2 linked regions of the Caenorhabditis elegans genome follow. The protein of the gene in region 1 interacts with the protein of each later gene in a biochemical or structural test. Each region holds a gene or a part of one and is shown in the gene's direction. Other genes may lie near its edges.

What was found. Proteins that work in one complex are often made in the same cells at the same time.
Region 2: of the proteins of npr-4 (region 1) and flp-5, one has a biochemical effect on the other in vitro, tested with the Caenorhabditis elegans proteins (one study listed by BioGRID).

The regions. Positions count from the first base shown.
Region 1 is NC_003284.9:12,547,461-12,554,714, reverse strand, and holds the start of npr-4 (G-protein coupled receptors family 1 profile domain-containing protein), read left to right. Parts: upstream 1-3,037; 5' UTR 3,038-3,075; intron 3,076-3,125; 5' UTR 3,126-3,193; coding exon 3,194-3,258; intron 3,259-7,254.
Region 2 is NC_003284.9:8,526,702-8,532,889, forward strand, and holds flp-5 (GAKFIRF-amide), read left to right. Parts: upstream 1-1,619; 5' UTR 1,620-1,620; coding exon 1,621-1,700; intron 1,701-3,330; coding exon 3,331-3,454; intron 3,455-4,064; coding exon 4,065-4,139; 3' UTR 4,140-4,332; downstream 4,333-6,188. UniProt on the Caenorhabditis elegans protein: FMRFamides and FMRFamide-like peptides are neuropeptides. GAKFIRF-amide has an excitatory effect on dissected pharyngeal myogenic muscle system.

The DNA.
Region 1 (7,254 bases):
TCCACAGACAATAAACTACCAGATTGCAGGCTGATGTCTGAAATTGATTCTTGTACATCCCTATGGACCATTCTTTCAGACAGTTACTGATTCACCGATTGTGTCTGTCTACTCCTAGTAGTCATACTCACCTTCTAGTTTCAGATACTCTAAATGAACCCCCATGAAATTTTGTGCACAGACTACGAATAGATATCTTGAAAAATTCAAAGTCAGAGTTCAATCGTTTTATTTTGAAAAACCTGCTTCTGTTTACCATGGACTTCCTCAACACTTTTTGACGCCCCATGGCATTGAATTGATACAATTGTTTTTGCCGGCTCTTACGTCTGTTTATTTGTCTATTCAAGTCTCTGGCCATGTGCTATCTGAGAAAATTCTAGGAAAAAAACATGAATGCTAAAATAAAATATGTTCCGTTTATTTTTTCGAAGTTGTGGATCCGTTTATTTTTCATTCCATTTTATTCCATTTCGTTATTGCAACTATTTCACTGATTCATTTTTGCACCAAATTTATTTTCGGGTATTTATTTTATTTTTTGATGGTTTTTCATCCTTTTTGCTTTTTTCTCTATGCATAGCTTTTTTGATTTGACTAATAAACCTTAAGAGATCTACTTTGTCGTCTTTCGAGCTTTTTCTCTGAGTTAATGTGCATAAAATTATTTTTCATTGCCCCTCGGAGTTTTTGAGAGCTTTTATCGTATTACGAGACAGGACAACTCCCTCGTTGTGCCGCTTTTATTGTTTTTCTCATGTTAATAGCTATAGATTCGCTTTGCAGATTCACGATCATTCAAAACCTCAGACGACGTCACTCAACTAGTTAAGTATACCGTAGAGGTACCGTAGTCCAACTTGATTTTGATGAACGGCGGATCAAAGAAAAGAACAACTTCAAAAGTACATGTATACATACTTCAGCTACTGACGCTTGAACTACTCGAAAATTGTAGCTTATCGGTGAAAATGCAGGCTAGAAATAGGCATTTCAAAATTGCAATGTATACCGCCTATTTTCTGTGAATGGCCTTTGAAACCAAAGTTCAAAAATTTGAAAAATCAATTTTAAACCCAACTTTGAAAATTATGAGTTCTTGGTTTTTTCTGGAAACGTTTAGCAAAAAGAAAATTTAAATAAATGCACAATGTTTTTTTCGTTTTGCAGAAGACACATGAACTTCAAAAAAATTAAAAATTAATGTATCCTCTAAGGCAAGTAAGTTGACTCTAAAGTAAGTGAGGCACAAAGCACGCAAATTTTGATGAATTTATGGGAATTTGTGTTACCAAACGTAACCCGCAGTGTAACTTAGCCGAAATTTTTTTGCCGGAACACTTTCAGTTTTTGCAAAAAAATCAATCTCAAGTTACGATTGGAAAGTTTTTTAAACGAACAATTTTTGAAATTTTCGATGAGCTTTTTATCAAATCACAGCTGAAACAAAGCGGACTTTGTGAAGATTCATGTTTTTATTTATTAATGTAATACATACGAAAAAAAAAACAAAATTATAAATATCTGTGCAACAAGCCCACAAACTTTTCACTGACTTTGTTGTTTTTATGGATAATTCCAGTGTTTCTTACTAATTTATAAACGCTGATAAATAGTTATGTATTTTGAAAGCAGTCTCTGAAAAAAAACACGATATTAAATCAAAAAAATTTTACAAAAAAGCAAAAAGATTTGATATACATAACATTGTAACAGAATTTACGGCCTTTCCAACAAAACAAGTTTCTGTTGTCTTATAAAAATTATTCCAAAGATCTGGGAAAGTTCATTCAATATCCCCAGCGCTCATTACCATTTTCTTACGCATCGCACTTGGTCTCCGAACCTTCATTGCATTCACCTGAATCTTAGATAGCAAATGACGAAATCAGCCCAATCCTCCAATCATCCAATCGCAGACTTGAATAATCAACGCAACATTTGCACATCCTTAGAGGTCATCCCCGCATGACTCTATCATCCTTTTCTCCGAACCTTTTTTCCTCCGCTCTCCGCCCTCCATTCTTCTTTTTCCTGGCTTCAATCCCTTTTTTTACAACCAAATGGACCCTCTAAGACAATTGAGCAACGCCTGCGGAAGAAGGGCAAGCCAATCTGCAGTCGGTTGGTCCTTTTTTATTATTTACCTTACACTTGTTTCCGTTTTAATTGTTGCGATCTTTGTACAAGAAGAAAATCATGTTGGTTTTTGATGAAGTGAGTTCGGAGTTCGAATTGTTCTTTCAACTCCAAAAATCGAAGCACTTTTGTTTTATATTTTCGGTTTCACAGTATAACAAAAATTTGTTTGTAGAGTCATGTTTAGATTAGTATATAAAAATGTTAAATTCCACAAATTTGATTGAAAAACAAAAGTAGTGATTATTGTTTGTGTATTTCTCGAAACTTATTTTTCCAATTGTAAGGAAATATGAAATCAACTAATTCTATGGATAACATATAATTTAGTTTTAATTTGAAAAATAAAATAATGTTGTAGAACTTTAATGTAGTACACATTGAAAAAAAATAGGTTTGGCGGTAAAGCTTTCTAGTTCACCCATCTTCAAGTAATGCAAAATTGAAGTTTTCTTACCTGTTCTAGTTGGTTTTGAAATTCTCCTTAAACAAATTAAAGATAATTTTATTCAATTAAAAAATATTTTCCAGTATTTGACTTTTCACCAAAGTTAAAACAACTTGAAAAAAAGTTCAAGGTGTTTTCACATGTTCTAGTCTAGACTAGTTTCTTCAAAAGTGAAAAGACTTACAAAGGCAAAAATCCTTTGTCATTGTAATCCTCCGCCATAAAATTTTGTTTGTTTTTTTCTAAGAATCTGAAAATTAACTTTTCCGCCTGTCTTGCTCCATTTTTCTCATTCCAACTCGATTAGTTTATTGCATTAGTGCAGAATGTACAAACGTTTCTGAAAACAAACGCTTTTGGTGCCAGATGTTGAGGATAATATTAATCTTTTCTCACAATTTCTTCTTGTCCATTCTTTCTTTGAATTTATCTAAATACAATTTGTTTCAGCCCAGCTTGCCTTGGCACCAGGCTCTCATTTAATCACGGTAAGCCTCTCGGTCACTGTAAACTATATAACCAATCGTTTGATTTTCAGATATCAACACAAAGTTTACGGAGAATTGCAACTGAAAAGTTGTTAGGTGAAGACACATATACAGAACAATGTTACTGGAAATTGGCACAATAACAATCGGGAATATAACCCGAGCAAGAAAGTTTGGAGAAAGGTAAGTTCCTGAAAATGGAAAATGGGTCCCCCTCCGCATTTCAAATGAGGTGTCTATTAGTTTCTGGGAAAGTTGAAAGAGAAACCCTCCCACAACTCAAGTGTTAAAGTTCTAAGCCCAAATTCAGACACTTGTGAATATTAGATTATTGCCTATTTTGACGAGCTATGGTAAAAAAAACAACACTAATTTCGAGTGAAAACTCCAAAATTGTGGTGCACTTGTCACACCATCACTCATTCTCTGACAAATCTCGATTGTGTTTTTGAGCCAACCAGCTCTTATTCGTCGCCGTCAAAACTTTCTTAAATTGAAATCACATCTCGAAACCTTCTTCCGTTTTGCATAAAATTGAATTTAGTTCAACAAGTTTAAAATGCCACCCCTTTTCTAGAAAACAAATGATGACGTTTTCCACGTTTCTCAGTTGAGAACGAGTCATGCGACTTTCAATTGGTGAAGTTCTTTTTTTTTTCTTCTGAATTGGTGTTTTTCCATTACCAAAAAAAAAAGGGTTTTTGATCTTTAGATCAACATTCTCAATTTTTCGGTGCCAATCAAGATTCTTGGTGCATTGCGTTAGACAATACTGAATTGCAGCTAATCATGTAAAACAAGAAACAAATCATTGGCAAAATTGAGAAATTGTACCCAGTAAAACTAAAAAATATGGATCAAAGGGTGGTGTGAGTTTGTTGGGTGTTTTTCGCAGATCAATGGCAATTCGTTTGTGATTTTGAAAAAAATCGCTACAATTGTGAACATTGCTCTTTTTGACTTTTTGCTAACGATTTTACAATAGCTCAAATGTTGAACTTTTACTTTTCAAGATTCTTATAGTAAGACTTTTCTTGAACGATTTAATCTAGATTTTTTGGATCCAAAAACAGTATTCCTCTTACTCGTTGTACTTTTTGGCACTTCATTCTCCTACGGACCAACCACTTCATCTTTGCAACTTTTCGCTGACCTAAGATAATCAAATTCCTTAGAAGGAAGGAAAACTTTGAAACTTTCTCCCGCTCTCTCGAGTTTTTTATACCACCCACCTATAGTTCCTCTCTGTCTCTCTCTCCGTACTCATTTCATTAATGACGTTTTAAAATAGAGCCGCTAAAGAATTGATCTTATATATTAGGAGAGAAACGCATAGTGTTCGATCTTTGATGCTCAAAGCTCAAAATGTTAAAAATGCCAGCATGGTGTTATTATAATGTATCTGAAATACAAAATTAGAAGGTATCTGCAGAAATGCTGACGTGAAATGTGGGAAGGGGAAAGAGGAAAAAAGTTTTTACGATTGGTTGTGAGTAGGCGGAAAGATATGTTGTACAGCCAGTGGGGACATGATTAAAACCGTTTAATATTGCAAAAATGATAAAATATTATGATAAACTTTTCAAAAGCTATTGAAATTTTTTTTTACTCCGAGTCAAGATTTCAAAAATTTCATTTTGATATTTGGTAATTTTAGCACCACTATTGTAATGGTTTTCAATTATTTTTCACCTACCGTACTACAGCTTTAAGATTGTCACAGCACTCCGCTTTTTCTTTTGTTTCCTTTGAACCTGCTGAAGAACATGATTTTTTTTCCAAAATCTTTAATAATTTGCAATATTACCGTATACATATTTCCTGGTTGTTACGGACCTCAAAAATAATTTTCAGTTTATATAATTGTGATGTGCTTTTGTTTTGAAAACACCACATTGTCTAGCCCATTTGCTTTTTTTAAATGAATTTTTTATGAATTATGAAAACTACTTCCACTTAAAAAATCAGTGGTTCTGGGAAAATAACCATTTATTTCATTCCGTCTTCTTGTTTTTTTGACCGCGATGAACAAATACAAAATGAGAACATTAAAAGAAAACCAAAGTCACGAGACAACGTAGGCACCCAATTGTCTCGTAATTTATGAAAACACCAGTCACCAACCTAGAAGTACACCTTTTAGCCGGTCCCGATGAGGAAAACAATGAACAAAGGTTGAAGTTTTGCTATATGCATGTTTGACGCAGTCTGGCTTGTCCGGAACAAGATGTGCAATAGATTCGAGCTTTTGCGAATATTTTGGAAGAAATAGTAAATGGCCCGATATATCTAGATGAGACTTGGACGGAGGAGTAAAGTGGAAATTCGTTTACTTCATTCTATTTTGTGCTTAAAGAAGATATTTATCTGAGAAGCGTTGGGAAATGCATTTAACGGAAAAAGCCTTTCACATTCAAATTTTAATTTTCGATTCCTTGGCCAAGTTCATGTTGCGCTGCGATAGGCTTAGTATAATATTTTCGGAAGTTATTTGCATGTTCAGCAGATTGCGTCACAAATGCCATTTGTCCGATCAATTGAGCTTATTTTTATGTTACTATTTGGGAGGGTTGAGTAAGAAAATGCTAACTAACATCGTTTTTTGTCTTTTGAGATTTGAGAAATTTCTTATTTGCTTTCTCATCATTCTTTGTATTCTCAAAAATGAATGTGAACCTTGGAAAACGCTTGTAAGTTTTTTTTGATTCTTGAAGAGTTGAAACTGGGCAATTTTTCAAATTTATAGTAACTCGCAATGTTTTGAGAAATTTTCAATTTTCGGTTCTTTTTGAATATTACACATTCTACGTATTAGTTTCAATTTTCAAAATTGTTTAAAACGTTCATAATACACATTTCTCCCTAGAAAGAATGTTTAATTATTTTGTAAAGGTTCTCCCCAATTGATCACAAAAACATGTTGCGCATTCTGCTCAACTTGAATGCTTGTATCAATTATGAATGATGGTTTAATTTGAGTATTCACGCGCAAAAAACGTGAATCATGTTTTGCAATTTCTCACGTATGTAATATGTATTACCCCATCCCACCCAATATATACAGCCTCCGGAAACACATCCTCTTTTCTCATAAGCTTATCGTAGTTTTTTCTCATCACATTGGGACATGTTGTTTTCTTTTCTGATTTTATATTTGGTTTATAGTCTCAGGTTGCGTAAAAATTTGATGAGTGACTTATGTACTTCGAAAAAGAACCTGGAAGCTAAATATGTACATTTTAAGTTCTTCTTAGCCTACAGGTTTTGACGAGAATGCTCGCTCATTATCGCTTTTTTTCAATATTTAATCAGTTTGAAACAGCAGAATTTTGATCGCTAAAAATTATAAGCTTATCGAACAAAAACAGATAATCTGAGAGGATATTAGAGGATATATTTAAAATTGAGAATCGTGTAAAACTTCCTATCGGCAAAAATATATTAGTTGTTAGAATCTAACTTAGAAACTCAAACGCCTTTAGCGGAGATTGATAGCGTCAAATGAAATCTCAGCAGATGTCCAGCGAAACAGTTTGTTTACTCTTGTTTTTCAACATACAGTTTTGTGGCGTTTAGTTTTCCTGTTATTTTCGAATATCATCGCAATCCCAGACACAATCCGTACGTATTTGAAGCTCCTGAATACGGTAGAGATACTACAGAGTTCTCAAAATTTGAATGATCTCCCTTTCCTTCCTAAAATATTCCGTCGCATTTTTTCTTCGAAATTTATTTCTTCTCATAATATTTTTGAACTTTAAAATAGATTTAATTCTATATTCTTGAAATTATTTGATATCACTTTTTCAGACAATTCGGAAGCCTTTCAATTTTTTTGAAAACAAATTATAAACAAAGTTGTACATAATTGGATGTATGGCATTTATCGCTCGAATTAGAATACAAAAGAGGTGCAAACCAGGAACTAGAGATTCGGATTCTGAATTAGTGAAAATAAAGTCATTATCTTTATTCCTTTTTTCTTCAACATTCCTTCTTTCCTTCAACTACAAAACTTAAGTATTATATAAGTATTATAAGTTGTATAAGTATTATAAGAAGTATTATAAGTAAGTATACAAAACTTACAAACTGCTTGGGCCGTTTGGCTGCGTGACTTTGAAACATCAGTAACAAGAACTCAATTGCCTTGTTTTCCCTTTTCCGGTGCAACAAAAG
Region 2 (6,188 bases), 4.0 Mb from region 1:
TCGTGAACACAATAAAACAACTCTTGGAAAGTAATATTGAACACAAAAAGTACAGATGATATGGCCAATTGGTACACTTCTGCATTATTTTAGTACTCTTAATCAAGACTGAAAGAGGGTAACAAAAATTGGTTCTGTTGTGTTTTAGTATTGAATAAACCTTTTTGAAAACAAACTTCTTTAAGAAAATGAAACATGATCTTAAAATTCACACATGTCGTAAAGAAAGTCATCGAGCAAAAGTTCAAATACAAAGTTCGCGTAAAAATTCAATATGCTGAAAATTCTAGGCTTTACGGTTTGTTTGCTCGCCCGTAGACTTTTTCATTCCCGTAGCTTCCAGTTTTAATTAAAACTTTTTTGTGGGCCAAAACGGACACGTCATGTCAGGCCCCGCCGTTTCCTCCTCCGACATGTCAAATCGGTCATTCAACACTGACATTTTGCAGTTTTCGGAGAATCTCCCATTTACTACGGAGAACGCGCCGCCTAGAAACAGAATAGTTCAGTTTTTTAACTTTAGTTTAGTTGTTTTTTTTTGTGGTATCTAAGAAAAAAGAAGCAATGTGGGCTTGAAACGGGTGGATCTGAAATGAATCTTGCAATTGATATTGTTTCTTGTGTATATTATGGAAAACGGAAATGAGAATTCGGCAAGTGAACACAATACAAAACTCTCATTTTGAAGTAAAACCGGTACATGAGCACTTTTATCGGTTCGTGGAAATTATGAATTGGTACATAAACAAAATTTATAGTTGATCGTCGGAGTGTTTTTTGGGAATAGCGTTACATCGATTTGCAAGTTTTCTAAAAACCAAAGTTGATGCTCTATGACGTACTAAAACAATCACTAGAAGTCTATTTGAAATTTGAAAGGTTTCTGATTAATTTTTTGTTCTGATTTTCGTATTATTATTTTTCTCCCAATTGATAGTGACCCTGGTTCGAAAACAAATAATCCTACTCTATTATTTGTTTTCAATCAGCTTTTCGGCTTCTGACTCCATTTCTATTATCAAACTCTGGGTTAAGTCGTTAGTTTTCCGGTACCCCTTCTATTCCCCCAGAGGCTTACTAGATCGTTTACTTTTCAATCTCCACGGGGTTAAATGGGAAACATAGAGGGCATTCCGTTTTGCAAAAAGAGCTTGTTAAAGTTGAAGTCTGGAAGGAAGTACCTAAAAGTACCTAAAAAAGCTTTTGGGTCGTGTGACGAATTGCGCAGAGAATTCAGAAATCTGCTGGAGGATTCTTTTTATATTTTTGATCGCCAATATAGACGAGCTAATTCATCAAATTATGTCATGCAACTTTGACGCAAGTTATCAAAAGCATATTGCTATTTTCTGTTGTAGTAGACATGTTGATATCTTCATTTCTCCAATTATCTTCTCTTCCTACTATAATAACAACTCTTTTAGATAAAGTCTCTTCCCAAAAATAACAACTACAGTTTCAATTTACTCCTTATTTCCCATCATCTCTAGTTCAGCTCCCAACCGCTCCACATAATAGTAGAGATGGGGCGGAGCCAGTTGGCAAGCCATGCGCAGCGTCCCCGCCTTTCAGCTTCCACGACAGCACCCGCCTTTTACGAAACAGTCATTCCTCGCAACTATGAGCAGCCGAAGCACCACGATTGCTTTCCTCTTCATCGCCACCCTTCTTGTCTTCCAATGTGTTTCCGCTCAATCAAGGTAGGTTAATTTGATGTCTAGGGTTCAGGTGCTGTGATGAGCCAATTGTTAAACCCCAACTGATCAAAACTGGCCATTTGTTCTTGATTGTGATCATTGCTTCGGCTATTGAGACTATCATGGACTTCCTAAAAAGAAAAGGCGCTAGGACTTAAAGTAAAATTATTAAAAGGATTTTAAAAAAGGCTGACATAAATTACCAACTCAGACAGAAAAAAAAACACAAAAAACCAAAACTCTAACGGTGCGTGAAGGTCTAGATTGAAACAACAACGGAACCTATTAAAGTCGTAGGTACAAGCAAATTATCTTTTTCAGAAAAACTAAATACTAATACAGAAATAGTTTCAATATCCAAATTAAATCATCGTTGTACAGCTAATTGCTCAAAAGTGACGCATTTTTCATCATGCACTTTATTTCATCATCATTTTCGTAATTTTCTAATTATACAAAGATGCAATGGCGTGATTAACACACATACTAGATTCTGTTCGTTTTCTTCGGCATTTCACTTTACTACTAGCATCTTGTGCGCTTCCTACGAACTTATACCCCGGTCTCCTCCCTTTTTTTCATTCTCATGAGCATCGTAATGTGACGTGAGTTTATTCTTTTTGGGGGATCCCATCTTGTCTGTTGGACTCTTGGTGTCGGATGAAGCGGAAATATCAATCAGCCATTCAAATTCAATTGCGAGTACTAGGAGGCGCGCTTTTTGCTTATTCGCTTTGCATTCGATGCTTCCGGTGAGATGCACTTTGACCCATTCTTTCCATACTATTGTTTAAAAAATTGGAACAACTTTGTTGGGAGGCCAGAGTCTTCAGCAAGGAAAAAATAGAGATGACGTTATAAACAAAGAATGGAAGTGTTCAATGACAATATCTTTTTGAAATTACTTTTCGAAATACTCAGATTTTTAAACTGTTTGTTTTGTTTTAAAGCTTGGAATTTCCCATTCAGAACATTGAATTCCAAGCATTGAAAACAAAAACAAAAGTATGTCAAACAATAAAATAGTTGAGGACTAGTCTCTAACCTAATAGAAAAGCGAGGGTGGAATTCATAAAATTAGCTTCTTTGACCTTCAATGTAACACAAATTAGCATTCCGTTCTCGATTTATCCCGCTTCTTTAATATCAGGCAACTTTGAAACTTCCCTGTTTCATTCTTAGAAAGTCACTGGAGGGATCAGAGCACTCACAAAACATGTCTCCTTCAAAAAGTTGCCACCACTTTTTTGCTCTAGTCGTTCAATACAATTGGTAAATGAAGCGTTTAATTTTGCACTTGGCGTGCTAACATGACGCATGTGCTCATTGAGTTTGGAAAAGTAAAGTAGTTGGTTAAGCGACAAAAAGGAAAATGTGGTAACCTTCTTATCTTTTCATTTTTCAATTATTTTTGAACAATTATATGCAGAAATGTAGGTCGTGGTGAACCGAAACACAATATTAAAAATATGATAAATGGTGGTAATTAAAATAGACACATTTTCAATATTGACGTGTGAAATACGTAAGAAAAAAGACAGGAAAGGTTCTATGACATTTTAAAAAAATAAAACAACGGTCTCTTTGTTCACAAATATGGACTTTTCAATCTAATAACACCGAATATTTTCAGTGCCGAAGACGCGGACTACCTTGAAAAATACCAAAGAATAGCACGAGCACCAAAGCCAAAATTCATCCGATTCGGTCGTGCAGGAGCCAAGTTTATCAGATTTGGGCGATCAAGGAACACTTGGGTTAGTATTTCAAGAAAATAATTTTTTCAGTGAATCACTGCATAAGTCGAAAACCAAGGTTCTGAAAAGCTTGTTTCCTTGTGTTTGTTGTACACATAGCTTAAGCTGCTACCATTGTAGAAAATCCTATTCGACCCCCTTATTACGTATGCAAATTATATTCTGAAAATCTTGATTTTTATCTGTTTTGATATTTGCTGAGTCTAGAGATTTTTTTGTAATGCTGGGGAGCACCTTAAAAAAATTGTTCTAGTCGTATATGAACATTTACAAATTTCGACTAATAAGTATATGATGAGACTAATAAAGGATAAACGATGCCTGTCATTTCCAGCGAAGACGGAATACTTTTAAGTCACAAGAAAAACGTCAGAATTTCATGAAAGATCGACGTGACTGAGTACACACTGCATTACAAGCTATTAGCTTTCTGAAATATTAAAAACCCCGCTCCCCCACTATCTTTACAAACGGAATACATATATGAAAATATCACGCTAAAAAGCACTATGTCATATGCCAACACATGGATATGAGTAATGACGCATCCGAAACGTCAACTTCTCATGTATACTAACCATTATGCCATCATCATTTATTGAATTTTCAGGAAGATGGATACGCCTCACCATCGGTCAACGAGCTCTACGTTAAACGTGGAGCCAAATTCATCCGATTCGGCTAATTAGGAACAATCAACTCGTGTCGAATCACTGCTCCTACGTTGTCTAACTGCATAGTGTTTCTTAAAAAGTCCCCACCTGAAATATACCCTTTCACTCATTTATTTGTCCTCCTATTTTTTTCGAACTGTTGTGCGAACTGATATTCTTTGTGTTTTCCATTTCGACGCCTTCTCAAATGAAAAACGTTGCGTTAAATTATTATGTTTCAAAATTTTTGAATAACAAGTATCCATAATCCATGATCTTAAAAAAACAATAAGAAACACGTAAACAATTCATTATAAAATATGGACTTAATTAGACGTCTCACCTAAATATGTTTCCAAAAATTGTGTGCGTTCTTTTTTTTAATCGAAATATTAACTAAATACTGCAATCTAGTCAATCAAATGACATGTCAATGTTTGAATGTGGTTTGAAATTTTATGCCAAGGAATCAACACAATTGAACAATCATTTCATTTTGTATTACTATTGCATGTGTCAAAAATACTTAAAAACTTATTTTTGTTTAAATCTCCATACACATATCTAATCTTCAAAACTTACGATCATCCCAATTTGGTTTTTAGAAAGTGGTGGCAGTATAGATGTTATTTGAAATGTTTTTTCGTTTACTAATTTTTTTTGGCTTTGGTAGCCTTGAGTTCTACAGAAAATTGAAAAGTTGGTTAGAACAGAGGTTTCAAAAATAATTTATTTTCGAATTTTGGTTACAGCTAGCACCTCCCTGTCTTCTATTACGGTTTCACACTTTGAGTTCAATAGTTCTGTTTCTTTAAAAAATAACTTTTTTTGAGCTCAGAAATTCAGAACTTCTTATAAACAAAACAATGACGATTATGGAAGAAGGATAGGGAAGTGGTGACAAACGTGCCCGTCTAAATTTTAAAACACCCTCTCAGGACACTAGACAATAGAATTGATGAGATGTGCTTAGACACTTATCCGCGTCTTTGAGCAAAGATGACATGTATTTTTATGAGGGAATGTAGGATGCCTTACAATTATTATTAAGTCTTCAGCGTTACACGCCTGGAACGATCGAACAACACATAACTTGTATTTATTTTCGCAGCGACTATGCTATTCCCGGAGAAGTCTTTTAATTCTATTCCGTGAAAACTGAAAAATAACGGTTGATATTCTCTCTCATAGGCAGAGAGCTTCCATGAACTTGTCATTTTCAATGCATGAACCTTACGATTTGCTATTTTAATCCAAAATTTAGGTACCCCACGCAGCTCAGTTTCAACCCATTGAGATTGACACGTCACAAGACATGGCAGTTTATTTGGTATCTCGGAGTGCTTGTGTTAGAAAGGGCACCTCATGAGTAGGCGGAAAGATTTGGAACGCACTCATGTAAAGAATTTAAAAATCACGCACAGCGTAAAAAATTTAATCAAGATTTTAGGTGACGTTGACTGCGACCAGTCATGCAGAAACTTCATCAACTCTTTCAGACCTAAAAACATAAACGGACACAAAAAAGTCGTTTGATTTGTGGGTGATAACTAACTATTTTAACTATTCAATCAGTGGACACATTGAGAATAATACTGGAAATAAATTAGAGAGTGACAAATATTTTATGGCCACGTGAAGGTGGGTAAAACACAAAGATGCTGGGATATGATATCATGACTAGGCTTGCAGTCTTGCAGTCATACAACAAGTGGGAGTAATAATAATTTGATTTATTTGGGAACACTCATCAACTCTTGTAAAATTGAGATAAATAAAACAAAACCAGAAATAAATATTGAAGCAAAAAAAAAACACTAATAGGAAATTTCAAATATCATATATTATATAAAATGTTTCAATTTGTTGAACATTTCAAAACTGTACATCTAACAACTCAATAATACGCACGAATAGTAAGAGTACATTGCGACAAACGCCCATTTTTTTATAATTTGGAGAACTGTAAAACGCGTATGAGGCTAGAAGCTCTCGTAAATTTGGAGCAATTTCTGGAGATCATTGCAAAACTATGATATTCACGCTGATCAATGCACAATAGTTCATCTTACAAATTAGGT